2 linked regions of the Styela clava genome follow. The protein of the gene in region 2 interacts with the protein of the main gene of each other region in a biochemical or structural test. Links are inferred from orthologs where the notes say so. Each region holds a gene or a part of one and is shown on either strand. Other genes may lie near its edges.

Region 1 (7,677 bases), on a different chromosome or scaffold from region 2:
TTAATTTAATTTCGACAGCACAGCAAAACCTATACAAGCAATAAATAATATAATGAAAAGACCGGCAAGAAATGGCCCAACTGGCTGATTTTTCCGAGGAAGAAAACGGAAAATACGCCATTGAAATCTGTGAGAAATTCGCACAGAATGGCCATTTCTTGACAGGGGGGCGGCAGCAAGGTTCAGCATGAAAAAAGCATCAAAATTAAAATTTACTTCCGAGAACTGGAATACATCGATTTCATCAGCAATAAAGATTTAGCAATTGAAACCAAAGCAACACCTAGTCACAATATCATATTTTATTAGTAGAAGACATTTATTGACCAAATTAACTACAGGTAAAAGAATTTAGGGTGTGAAAAATTGAAATCAATGCTTTTTGAAACATATATTTCGATAATTCAATCAAATATTGTTACTTTAACATTTTACAATCGTGACCCAAAATGGATATATTAGATTACAGAAAGTTTAACAATTTAACTAGAAAATACCAAATTATTCGAATGAAAGAACAAGCAAAATTCAATTTCTCTCTATTTACCAAACATTAAATTTATTATTACTATATTTCCTAACTTCTAAAAATTGTGCAAAAATTCTACTATTTGGTGGATTCAGTAAGGTACGCGATTAAATCGGATCTTTCTTGTTTCTTCTTAATTCCAGCGAAAACCATTTTCGTTCCTGAAAAATACAAGTTATTATGCGTAAGGATAAGGCTTTTCATATCAATATTGGGGCAGAGGAGAGCAGGATTGGGGTAGATAACACCTACTTAGGTTTGTGTCAGGTTATATAAGTGAATTTGGCCAGGGAAAGCTGAAAAGACTTTAGAATTTCTCCTAGGTTTACAATCTGTGAATGACACAATTAGCCAGGGGGGAGAGGAAGCTGATAAAACTGTCTTTGGATTTCTTTCAGATCTGCGAGTTACATTTTTAGACTGCATATTTAGATAGAGGAAAGAGGTACAAAGGTGGCATATTTACCTAGGGAGAAGTGAAAAGCCGAACTCTGGTTTTAAGATCTCACTAGCATAGTATCGGGATATGCTCAGACTGGGTGACAAAGTTTCAAATTTTTCAAATGACCTTAATAATGGTGAATTGGACAACTGCCTCTTATCTGGACACCGGGTCGTAGTTGGGTATGGAAACAGATAACAGTACCAGATGTATGGAGCGTTTTCCTCACAGTACCAACTTGTTTCGTCTCTTATATAGCAGCATCAATCCTCTTGAAAGTTTTGAATTAATTAGTATTTAAATTAATTGTTATTCATTATCAACAGTCACATAGACAAATACAGCTCTTGGTGATCCAATACACTATTGCATTACTTTACTATAAATATCAGCGTACCTGGAATATATTTCTTGGGATTTGTCAGGTAGATTTCTAATGTGTCTGGACCCCATGTAATACCTGTAAAAAATAAAAATTAAATAACGATTATTCAATAAACAGTTGCAGATTAAAAGTACTGTTACCTCCAATTATTTATTTCCCATTTTTACTTAGAGTAAGGTTATGGCACTGATATATGAGAACCATGTTTTTGAGAGGACCAAGGTGTTTCCGACAGTTTTGATCATTTTCCTACAACTAACACAAATAAATAAACAGGCCTCTTTTCGCAATTGAAATGTGATATTTGACATGCAATACCGCTTCACTAAGAAGACCGCATCTTTCTCAAAATAACCTTTTCAAATGGAAAGATATCTGATTGCTTTCAAAATCAACAATTTTCTTTTTCAAGAATAATTAATTTACTAAATATTCCCAATTCAATTTTTCCCTGCCATCATTGTATATCAGCGGGAGCCATGAGGCCTTAAAGTCTCCAGAAGAGGGCCGTGAGCCATGAAAGGTTTTTATTCTGTATGTTTCTAATCCAACAACAATCACCTTTATCTTTGTTAGCTTGAGTGTAAGTGAATCCTGGTGCTTGTCCAGTCTTTCTTCCAATAAGACCACTGAGATTGGGACCTAATAAAACATAAACATGTTTTTATTAAGTTTTCGGTAAATTAGATGTTTTTACTCGTGTAGACTCAAGACTCAATCACCAATTGAATGGTCGTCATTGAAGTTGAAAAGAGGGTTTGTAGGAGGAACATCAGACTAGATGTTTTTAAGTAAGAAGCAGTAACTTATATCGGCAAAAGTGCTTTTTGACTTATTTCCGTTTTTACCATCATGAGATCTTTGAAAAACTGGAGTCGGAGTGTCGCAAGCAATTGTCTATCCAATTCTAACATGAAACTTATAATAACACGTGTTGTATAATTACTCTCATACACGCTGTAATTGGCAATAGTTATGATACACTTTTTCCTAATGTCAGGTTAGAATCAAATACAGTTAAAAAGACGAGTCTAGTCAAGTTTAGTACAATTCGACTTCAATTAACTTCAGCAGAAACAAGTTAGTAACAGTAGCACTTATAGATGAGTGGCCATACGAAAACTTTGCTTAGATATCAAGTCTTATTTGCTTACGAGTGAATGCTTATGAACTTGCTTTGAGCAAATTCTTTCATAGTATAATACGATTATTTTGATTAGCAATGGACCGATAATTTGGTCAGTCAGTAGTTTATTTTACATGTGCCGAAAGTACACATTGTACAAACATATTAAAAAAAGATAAAAAAAATGAATTTTAGTGTGAAAGGTGACGCGATAAACCAGTAATGGTTATCTAGCAGCGTCACCTATGAGGAAGTCCAACATTAAATTATAATGGAAGAAAAAAAGGCGAACATCAAATACTAAGAAAAGCCAGAAGTAAGATAAATGTTGAGGGCAGAATTGTACTGAAGTCTACTAGACGCAATCAAGGCTTACCGGTCTTATGTTTTCCACCATTTTCAACAGTGTGACATTGCGCGCATTTCTGAACAAAAATCTTCTTTCCGTTTTCTGGGTTTGGTGTCGAGTCTCCTCCTTTTTTGCCCATATTTTTCTGTTTTGAATTTAATTTAATGAAGAAAGAGCTACTGCAGTCACTGCTACAGGTAGAAATAAAAAATAATAACTGAAATGAATACAGTGAAATATTGAAAGTCTCGTCTTTTGTTATATGTGGTGTAATTTAGAAGGATATATATGGCTAGACCAGTATTTTCCAATCTTTTAGTTGGAGCGAGCGGGCAGCCCCAAAATGCGGGACAGGGAACGTCGGGAAATGCACTAAAATGCGGGAACCACAGGAAAATGCCAATGCAGGAACTAAGGGAATGATTTCCTGTCATCCCCGCTTTTTGTGAAATTTCCCGTAGTTTCAGTCATCCCCGCATTTTAGTATTGGCGATTTCCCGTAGTTCCCGTCATTTCACTGCATTTCTCGTAGTTCCCGCATTTTAGGGTAGCCCGGAGCGAACTTCAATGAACCATTCCAGAGGCAGCCCCGGTGCAATGCCTGAATACTGCAATAGTTTAGTTGTCTTATATTGTCTGAATTATAATAGCTATGAATATGTTAACGTTAAATACCGGTACTGATATAAAAGAAAATCTAGTACTAGCATAACAACTACACAAAATGATTTTGTGTGAGTGTAGCAAGTCTAGCAATAGTAGGTACTGTATTCAAGTAAAATAAACACATTAATATAGAGAAAGTCTTGGTTTTACTGGCAGCAATTTGGTAAAAAAACATTAGGCTAGACAAATAGTAAAGAAGACCAGGATTGGATAAAAGTGGTTTTGGAAAAGCCTAACTTCATTATCTTTGTTTGAGAGATGACTTAAGACTTACAAATTCCTCCATATTTTTATACAGCTAAAGACAGAAAGAGCTAACTGAATACTGGAATATGATAACCCAAATAAGCATATCTGATTACTGAAATAACTAATAGAAACAAAGTCATATGCTTACTTTTATGCCTCACTCCCGTATTCTCTAATGTAGTATTATGATTATATCGTTCCCTATCCTGCTATCTGACCATATAAATTAAGAATTCAGTAATTTAATGTCTATCACAGCAACAACACAAAATTCTAATCCTTGATGTTTACGTTCTCAAACATAAATTAAATAATTTATTTCCATAATTGTGACATCACATTTAAACATATTATTTCATCATAGTTGACTTTCATACGACTACTATTTCGTCACAAGGAAATAATGACGCCCACTCAGTTGCGGTTCTGCTTATGTATAGACCAGTTGCCAGCTGAAGACGATTAATTTATTAACACAGATGGAAGTGTGAAAGGTATATCGCGAATAGTATTGCGCGAATTCAACACTTGAAACCGCCCTTTTGCCTCGCGAAAAGTGTCTACAGCGAGTCTTTCATCTGTGACATTGTTCGTACTTTTCAAGGTAACCTACCGCAAACGAGTTGCGCAATGCGGCGCATGCGTACAATACGCCTGGCCCGGCATAGTAGTAAGAATGCCTTACAGAGCTCAAAACTGCATGTTTTTTTACAATTTTTATCTTGAAAATAAGTCAGTGCTTGGGTATTTTGCTCGAACAATTCTGAAAATTTTTTATTTTAATGTTGTAACCCTTTAATAGGATTTTTCAATTCGAATGTAATTGTTTATTTGACAATTTTGATGTATGAATGCTGGGCTGACTTTAACCCTGCGCTTCGTTTTGCGTATCAGTTTCGTCAGACGACGACGTCACTTCTGATTCATTCGTGTCGCAAGACTACACGTCATCAACAGTATTGCGCAAAGGAAATCATGTGAGGTAAAGAACTTTTGTCTTTTGGACGTCGTAGAATAATGTGATTACAAGTTTAACGATGGCGTAGTCTTGGATTGGAACGGTAGCGATTACATAAGGATAATAATTACTGTGTATTTTAATATTTTCGCCACGTATTGTTAATTAGGCATGTTATTTGCATCCACTTATTTCCATCCGAACATCCACTTCCTTGTTTACTTCGTAACATTGGCCAATAAACAAGATGCAAAAAGTGACGTAACAATGCTCCCTTTTCGCATCCGCTCAGACACTTTTCTCACTCAGACAGATTTTCAAGCATGGTCGTAAACATTACTTCGTTTTCGCGTTTTTGAACTCTATTCGTTAGTTTTCAGTTGTGTTTCGGAAACTTGAATATAAATCAAATAATTCAATGTCTTCCTAGGAGTTTTAATTTAATTGTAGTAATAAAAAAATGGTGTAGAAATATCTGTGATAGACTAGCCTGAAATTATTTACCGGTACTTTTAAAAAACAGATTGTTGTATGCGATGAATCATAATGATGGTTTGAAACACATACCCCATTTTACAGGCGCTAACTCGCAAAAGCGCTCCTAAAATAGCCCCAAAATTTTTGCAATGATAAAGTATTGGAAGAATATTTCGGGGATCAAAGGTCGGGGTAATTTCTTTAGCGCTTGAGAGAATAGATTTTATTGTCACCATGTCTCAGCATGATAAGTTTAGTATTTATTGAATGATCTAGTTTGCATAATCGATGATCCAACGAGGGAACCATATAAAGGTAATAAACAATAAAATTATGCAGCAAGAAGAGAACAGATCTGTGGTTGGAACTCGTTTCCCGAATAATGGAGGTTTGTTGCCTCCATGATGACATTGTTATTCAATCGGAGGTATTTTTTTTTATCTCTGCAATTATTTTCTCATCTTCTATGGCACCATTTGGGTGCTCCCGAAGTATACGAACCAAGATGGCGGGCATCGGAACGTAACATGGGTAACTGGTTAGGGTTAGGCGATAATTTTTTTCCAATTTTCCTTATTTTAGTCCTATTATCAGTTCGAAGACTATCTAAGAGCCTCCCGTAGTATTTATACCTAAAATTATGGCTTAACCTAGTACACATATTACATTCCGATGTCCGCCATCTTGGTTCGCATACTTCGGGAGCCCCACCATTTGTATATGAAAAATAATGTCTAAAGAGTAGAATGTCCTTAATGCACGAAGGCAACTGTCTATATAAGGGACAATATTATACATATTTAATCTAACGTTATTTGTTTCATATTTGTCAAAAGGGGTGCATGCCGCACATTTGTGTTTTAGGCCAGTAGGTCTTGTGCAGGCATTCCGTCTTAAATAATAATAGGTAAAAATAACATGATCTCTTTCAACGGAATAGTAAGTATATTTGTGAGCTTTCGTTAGATCATGGCCTAACTTCTTCATACAATACAAGATATAACTTAATCAAACAGCAATAATGAACTAATAATATCACTATTACGAGACGAATAAACATACATACATACGGCTAATAAAATTACAATAAATGTTTCAAAAACAATAACAAAATTATCGCGATTTATTCTATTTCGAGTATTATTATTCGCAAATACTTCGTCAAAGCAACTAAGGAGTTGATATATAAAGATAAAAACATCAGAGTATAAATCCCAAGTTTTAATAAATCTTCAACACGTAGTCACGACTTTCTCCCCCGCCAAAGTCGTCTAAAACAATTAACTGGTTAATTAATCCCATCCCCGATATGTACTGGTAACTGGACGAGTGGCTCCCGTTCCCATGTATGTATGTTTATTCGTCTCGTAAAAGCAATATAAACCAGTTAGTAATTATCAATACGGAAGAAGGGATGTATGCACAAGACCAGGCATGCACAACTCAAATTACCACGAGGGCCGCAAGCATAAATCTGAAAGCCCGGCTGGTCGCAAACATTTTGCCACATACATATTTCACAAGATGAACCACAAATCAAAATAATATTGTGGAACAGTTAAATTTGATGAAACACTTTCATTACTGGGGAGCTTAAAAATATGAAGAATCTGAGTGAAAACAAGGTGCAGTATTTTTGCATATGAGATGGCAAATATGTATTTAGTGGTTCATCTACCTTGAAAACCCACCCTTCATTTTCAATATTTCTTTTTTATTAGAATTAGGTATCGCGTGTTGCAGTATAGGCTGGCTACAGGAAAATCATTTACTCAGGTTCAGTTTTGTAAAATCGTCCCAAGTATATGTATGACAATTTATTTAGTCATATCTATACCCGGACCTCCTGAAGTATGCGCACCAAGATGGCGCACAACCTGAACTCAGGTTGTGTACCAGGTTAAGGTTCAGGTTATGCGACATCTCGGTGCGCATACTTCAGGAGTACCCTATACCCTTATTGGATATTCCCATTGTAGGCTAGCGTTAGACGAACAATTCGCTTAGCAGCAATAGATCTTCCTCTGTTGTACTTTTTTGACTGTTAAATTACATTTTTCTACAAAATCTGCTCCAATTTATTTAAAATTTTACAGTGAATAGCAAAATTTTTTGTGCGAAAATTTCTGCACCATTCATAAATGAAGGAATTGTTTTTTAAGTTGTAAATTTGAATCAAAAAAGAAACTTCAGTTTCATAAACTGCTATTAAAAAATAATGGGGTTATTAATAGGTTGCTAATATGCACTAATGGGTGTAAGATTGTATACCGATATTGTTTTAAGCGTGATTCAGTCTGAATACTGAGATATCTAAATCAGGGTTTCCCAAACTGGGGGGCGAGAGGTCGAGCGACGAATTTTAGGGGTCGCGAAGTGTAGACATCGTTTTGCTCTCACTCACTCGCATACAGGCGGGAAACAATGTTTTTAAAACAAGTGCTGTAATCCCAGGACCTAACGTTTGATGGATGACAGACCAGTTGCAGCATTGGG
Region 2 (6,274 bases):
ATCAGTAAAAAAACAAATGACAGATTTTTTCGACAAGACATTTCGCACTACATTGCGTGGCATAGGATTGCTTGAATTATTATTGATATTGATTTTTAGTAACTAAGTCGTTGTATAATTATATTAATATACAAACACATGGAAATTTTCTGTTCGAAGTTGGTCTTCGAATTTGTCATATTGACTGCTGAGCTTATTGTGTTTTTTGATTGTATTGATGGAAATATGACAAATTAAACAATGTGCTTCAGAATTTTGTGAAGAGCAGAAATGTTACAACTCCCATTTTCTTCGAAAATGCCACCTTCTTCATGTACTTTGCGTTTAATTTAATTACTCAAGTGTTTTATTCAAGTATTCTTTTGCTAGCTTGATGTGTATTCTTAATTGGGTCAAAATGTGGACAAAAAAAATCAATATTCCAAAACTACTTTCAGTAAATTGTTTTCTGTGTGAATACAATTATTGTTAAACGTTCGAGGGCCGCACTGGAAGTTCTCTGGGGCCGCGAGTTTGAGATCCCTGGCCTAGATTGAAGTTGTTCAAAAAATATATGATAGTATTTTATCATGAATCATGATTATACCCCTTCCGGAATTTCTTCTATGGTACTACCAAAAGTTGATGAACCAAATATAACACAGGTGCAGTGAGGTACCCGTAATCCTCATTTCCAAAGCTGTTTTAAGTATGTCTGGCGTGTTTTGTGCCTTTTTACAAATAAGACCGCTTATGCAATCTTACGCTTTGGAATTTTTAGTTATTTTCCTCAAGCCCTGCAGGATGTGGGGGCCATACACAACTCTACCGGAGGGTCAAATGTCTTTGCATGCCTCCATAGGTTGTTTTTCTATTGCAATTTTCTATTTTCAAATGCATTATATTTCTTGGAATCACACTGTCACTGATATGTCGCCAGACTTCTGATATCTCCCCGTCTGCTATAGTTTTCCTGTGAATAAATAATAGGAAATTGAGATTAGACGAATAGTTGAAAGTTTTGCTTTATGTCGGCTTAATTTCTTGATTGATATACTTACTATTTCTGCTATTGCCTCTTGTGCTGCAAGAGTCTCACAATGCTTAGACAGGTTTGTCCACAACTTTCACATCTGAAGAAAGAGAGGAGATTTATTAATTTTCGTTAAGAATAAATAAAGCAGTCTATATGATTCAGAATGGAAAAGCTAATAAATCCAATATCTCATGTTTTATTTAAAAAATATTTTACTGGATTTGGTATATAAACCAACTAATAAAAGGGTTTAGTCAGAAAATTACAAGCATTCGTGGCTCCAAATACTTGGGAAATCAGACTATACAATATAGACCGGTATGAGTGAAATGTTAGGTGAACTTGTTAACACTTTGATTCAATACGCAAATAAAAGTGAATGCGTAATAGTATGTTACAATGAGCAGCAATCAACAATGAGTATATATCCTCAATGATTAAAAAAATCTAACTGGAGGTGCATGAACTATTTGAAACCATAAGGGGTAAGTAAATATGTAATTTCGGCAAATGGGCAACTACGTACCGTACTGAATTAATAACTTCGTAGTATTTGACAAAGGCTGGCTTTCCCACATGTACTTAACAGTGCGATGCCCGGGTGTGATATACAACAATAGTATTCACCTTACCTTTTACCGATTTCTTTTTACCCAACTTTCAAAAATATCATTAAAATCGACAACAACTGTCAAAGCATGCACGAACACCATTCGTGCTACGCCTTGAAAACAGCACACATCCGCTCGTTTTCGTCTCGTCAAGTATGTGCATTGGAGCGTGCTATGGAATACCATCTTCGGACAAAAATGCCGGAGTTGCGCATCATGTTGTTTAATGTCATTGATATACCTAATTAACGATTAGAAGATCGATCAATTTGGCAATGGCAACCATTACAAAAATATCAATATGGTGTGGCAGATAATTTTCTTTTCTAGTATTTATTTATTTATTTTTTTGTTTACTGTATAGTATACCCTAAATTTATCGCGTTTCATTCTTACTTAAATAACTTCTCAGTGGTTGTGTGTGTGTGTGGCTGGTGGGTGCATGTGAGCGTGTGTGAAATAACTTGATAATTTTAGGTGAGTAAACACGTACCACTTCCTCTTGGCAAAACCTTTCATCTTATATTTTGTACGTTGTAAACCTTATCTAAGGTTTTGTTTGCTTCCCTGATTTCATAATCAGATTTTATTTATTTGTTTTTATCTGTCAAATGTATTGTTATGCTGATTATGGAGTCGAAATAAACTTATACTTATATACGTCGTAGGGTGATCACATGGTAGGTGACCGGATTCCTCGACCATCAATTCCATGCATCTGAAAAACAAATAAATGGCTAATTAATCCTATGACCGACATGGACTGGTAACCGAATGAGTGTCCGTGGTTCGTCGTATATCGACTTTCTTCTCTCGTGGGATAAATTTGTATTAACCGCAGTCCAACTCTCGCGTATTCAGACTCCGTGCACTACCGAGTCACGTAAGGCCATTTACAAGGTTAGTTCCCTTTTAAATTTCCAGAAAGTTCAGTCTTATTTCTTCTGCTGCGTCTATTATGTGGTTTATATCGGTGCAGAACCCGTGAAATGAGCTACGTAACCTTCTACCAGCCGCGTACTGTAATTTGCAAATAGATGTATGCAGCAGTAGCACCGGCAACCGACCTGGTGGTACGATCTTTCGGGTGTTGCGTGCCTCATTGGCAGCCCATGTTTTTTTTTAGGTTTTTAGAAGTATAAGTTTATTTCGACTCCATAATCAGCAATAGACGATAAAAAAATAGATAAAAGTAAAAGTAACTGATTATAGAATCGGGAAAGCGAACAAAACCTAGAGTAAGGTTTGAAACGTACAGATTTTAGATGGAAAGGTATTGATAAAAGAAGTAGTACGTGTTCGCTCACCCAAAAGTAAAAAAAAAACTAATTAAGGCACGCACGCACACACACACACACAATCATCGAGACATGATACTGTCGGAAGCGAAAAAAGCGAGACTTAAAAGTGAAAAGGAAGGAAAATATATTCTACAAACAAATAAAAAAAAATGAATAAATTCTTTTGCCACACCAAATTAATAATTTTATGAGGATTGCCAAATTGGATACCGAATTAGTCAACAAGAGTAATGTATTGTGGATAGAAAAGTATTCCTCAAAAGATATCGTCAAGCTGATTATAATTCAGTAATTGGAGTCACCTAATGCCAAATTGCCCAATCAGAATTGCCAAGTTGGATGTATGAAGAGGTGGGCTAGGCCTGCTTCACTCATCAAATAAAAGCCACAACAAGCCAAATAACGTCCAAATTATTTTAAATAATATTAATCAATAACAGTACCGGGGGTCTTACTACTTACTGAATACAGCGCGAAACACCGCAAAGAACGCGAAACAGCGCAAAACAGATGAAAACAGCGCGAAACAGAAGGAAACCAGCGCAAAACGACTCATCGGAGTCGGCACAGCCCTATCTATGAGTACCGTACCTGAGCTATCTAATAACATCTTGCGTGGGCCAGGCTTAAGCTATTTTTTTTATTATAAAACTTGTATTTTTTTGAAAGTTGTAAATCACTGCAGTATTGACAGACTGACATAATAATAACGTAATAATAAAATTATTTGAGTGTATAATACTCTATTATATCTAATCCAATCTACTCTATCCAATACCTGTGAATCTTATGCATAACAGTGAATATGGGGGGAGCTGACTTGGATGACCGTATGGTCGTATCGCTCCCTCCAGTCTTTACCATAAACAAGAGTTTATTTATTTGTATTTAAGCTTTTATATTTGTTTTGGTTGACGAATCAATAAATCTCTCTCTCTCTCTCTCTCTAATAATGCCTAATAATTTGAACCTTAAATACAAACTCTAGCTCAGCGAGGTTTATTGAACCCCCATCTTTTGAAATTTCAGGAGGACTGAAAAAGCTGCTAATAAAGTGTAAACTATATTTCCGCAAATTCTCCCTATCTCGGAAGACTTCAATAATTATTTATTTTCTCGTTCGGAACTTTGCGAAAGTGGGAAAAAAATGTTAACTTAATATGTGATCATTGCTACTAGACGCTAATCAAAATCTAAAAAGTGAATTCGCAACTCAAATTTCTGACCGAAAAAAAAAGTGTACCATTCAAATATCTATTCCTAATTCTCACACTCGTCTCCCTAATTATGATGATATATGAGCTATGAAATGATTGTAAATATAGTATTCAATAATTCATTTTTGTAAACTATGCTCGCAGACCTTGGTATTTTTCTAACAGCCATATTTTGAAAAAAATCATAGTACCAGTGTTAAAACAACAGCTCAGCTAAAAAAAAAGAATCAAATCCTGTTATAGTCCGGCAGTTTATCACTATTTTTATGTACGAGGGTTGCCATGGTATTATAGAGCATTAATATAATACTTTTATTTTGTCGATATAATGGTGAGTTAGGTTCAACCAACACAATTAAATTAATATGGCTATACATTTTAAATGCATTTTAATTAGATGTGTGGGTCATGGATTGAATATTTTGAGCAACAAAAAATCCATTTTCACTGATAAAGTCAGCTATCTCGACCAGTGGCCTGAATATAGACATGTCATATTTTTGCGAAAAGTTGTGGGGAGGTGCAACCTTTTCTGTTAAATCGGGATTCAGTTAGTCAAGTTTTCTGAATTACAAATTGAGTCAAATTTATTTAACCTGTAACATTCAAAGCTTTTGCTTCCTTTGGACTGGTTTACCTTTTTTGTCTATATTTGTCAATTGGATATCAAGACCTCTAATAATGATGCTTAATATTATTAGTTTTTCAATTGAACAGTTTTGTAGCACAGGTAATATAATAGGAATACAACCATGGCATCCCATCTACTTCGTGTGACAGCTTCCCGCCTGGTTGCAAGAAGACTTCTCAGCACTTCACAACCTGTGCGAGTCGCTGGTCCAGCAATGACAGATGATCCTAATGTCAATGTATATTTCCGTGAAGACATGATCAATCCTTTACCCCTGAAGCCTAGACTTTGGTGCACAACCCCAGAATTGAAGGCTTTGAAGGCAAAAGAAGCTGGAAATTGGAAAAATTTGACAGAAGAAGATATGAAACAACTCTATGATGCGTATTTCGGTATGAGAATCTCTGACATGGAAAGACCAACCGACAACTGGAAGAGCTATGTTGGTGTTCTTTTCTACATTGCTGGTTTCACTCTCTTCCTTCATCTCTTTATTCATGTATACATCAACCCTCCCTACGTGTCTACCGTAACAGATCAAGAATGGATAAACGCGTCGATCAAGAAAATGATTCAGCAACATCAAGGAGATGTCACTGGGTATTCCTCCAAATGGGATTACGAAAACAACACATGGAAGAAATAAACATTTTTGTTTCAAAAACTTTCAGACCAGTGTGCTTGTATTAATTGGATTTATTAGTAATATTAAATAAATTTCCATTGCATTCAATTTGATTAGTGATATTTGTAACTTACATTGGCTTATTGATTTCATGCTGTTGAATAATCTATTATATTTATCTTATTTTGGTCTAACTAAATTACAATTGCTATTTGCTGGTTACTAATGTTACAATATTTTAATCCAATTGTGTTTGATGTATTTAGACATCTTAGTCTTAGTGTATGCCATTTGATATATTTGTATAGAGTTTTTCATATAATTGAGTCTTCAACAAACCAAACAACATGAGTGGAAAACTGACGGTCAATAAAATTACAAACTGTTCTGATCTTACTATCAAGATGGACAAAGCCACAATAGTTGGTAAGTATATGAGAAACATTAGGTCTTTTTACTCATGAGACCTTATCTCTGATATTTTTAAATATTAATAATAGGCTCTTACACCGAGTGAAATATATATTGTTTATTTATTTGTTTACTTAAACCCTTTATATTATTATATAATTTTCTAATGTAATCCCTTCAAGATTGTGTTACGAAAAATACTAGATATAACCATCAATTTAGTTTTTATCATAAACCAAATTATTTTCAGATGTGAGTCAAGGTTAGTCATAGCAATGCTCTCATTTGAAACACTAGAATATTGGGCAAAAACATAGTAATTCAGACAGCATGATTTGGTTGAATGATCATACAAGGTGGGGTAAAAATTCCCACATTTTAATTTGATTTAAACTGGCGGAACGCGGTCTGAATCTGGACATTTCGAGTATTCGATTCGGACTGCACCAAATTCTTTATTTTG

The links. The genes of interacting proteins can lie anywhere in the genome.
Region 1: the proteins of cytochrome c oxidase subunit 4 isoform 1, mitochondrial-like (region 2) and cytochrome c-like form a complex in vitro, tested with the Homo sapiens proteins (4 studies listed by BioGRID). The link is inferred for Styela clava from reciprocal best matches to the Homo sapiens genes COX4I2 and CYCS.

The regions. Positions count from the first base shown.
Region 1 is NC_135262.1:1,983,789-1,991,465, reverse strand, and holds the start of cytochrome c-like, read right to left. Parts: upstream 3,023-7,677; 5' UTR 2,971-3,022; coding exon 2,859-2,970; intron 1,999-2,858; coding exon 1,918-1,998; intron 1,432-1,917; coding exon 1,369-1,431; intron 691-1,368; coding exon 608-690; 3' UTR 1-607. UniProt on the Homo sapiens protein: Electron carrier protein. The oxidized form of the cytochrome c heme group can accept an electron from the heme group of the cytochrome c1 subunit of cytochrome reductase.
Region 2 is NC_135251.1:27,351,966-27,358,239, reverse strand, and holds cytochrome c oxidase subunit 4 isoform 1, mitochondrial-like, read left to right. Parts: upstream 1-4,828; 5' UTR 4,829-4,896; coding exon 4,897-5,421; 3' UTR 5,422-5,667; downstream 5,668-6,274. Other genes in the region: uncharacterized protein LOC120335673, read left to right, coding at 5,748-5,826. UniProt on the Homo sapiens protein: Component of the cytochrome c oxidase, the last enzyme in the mitochondrial electron transport chain which drives oxidative phosphorylation.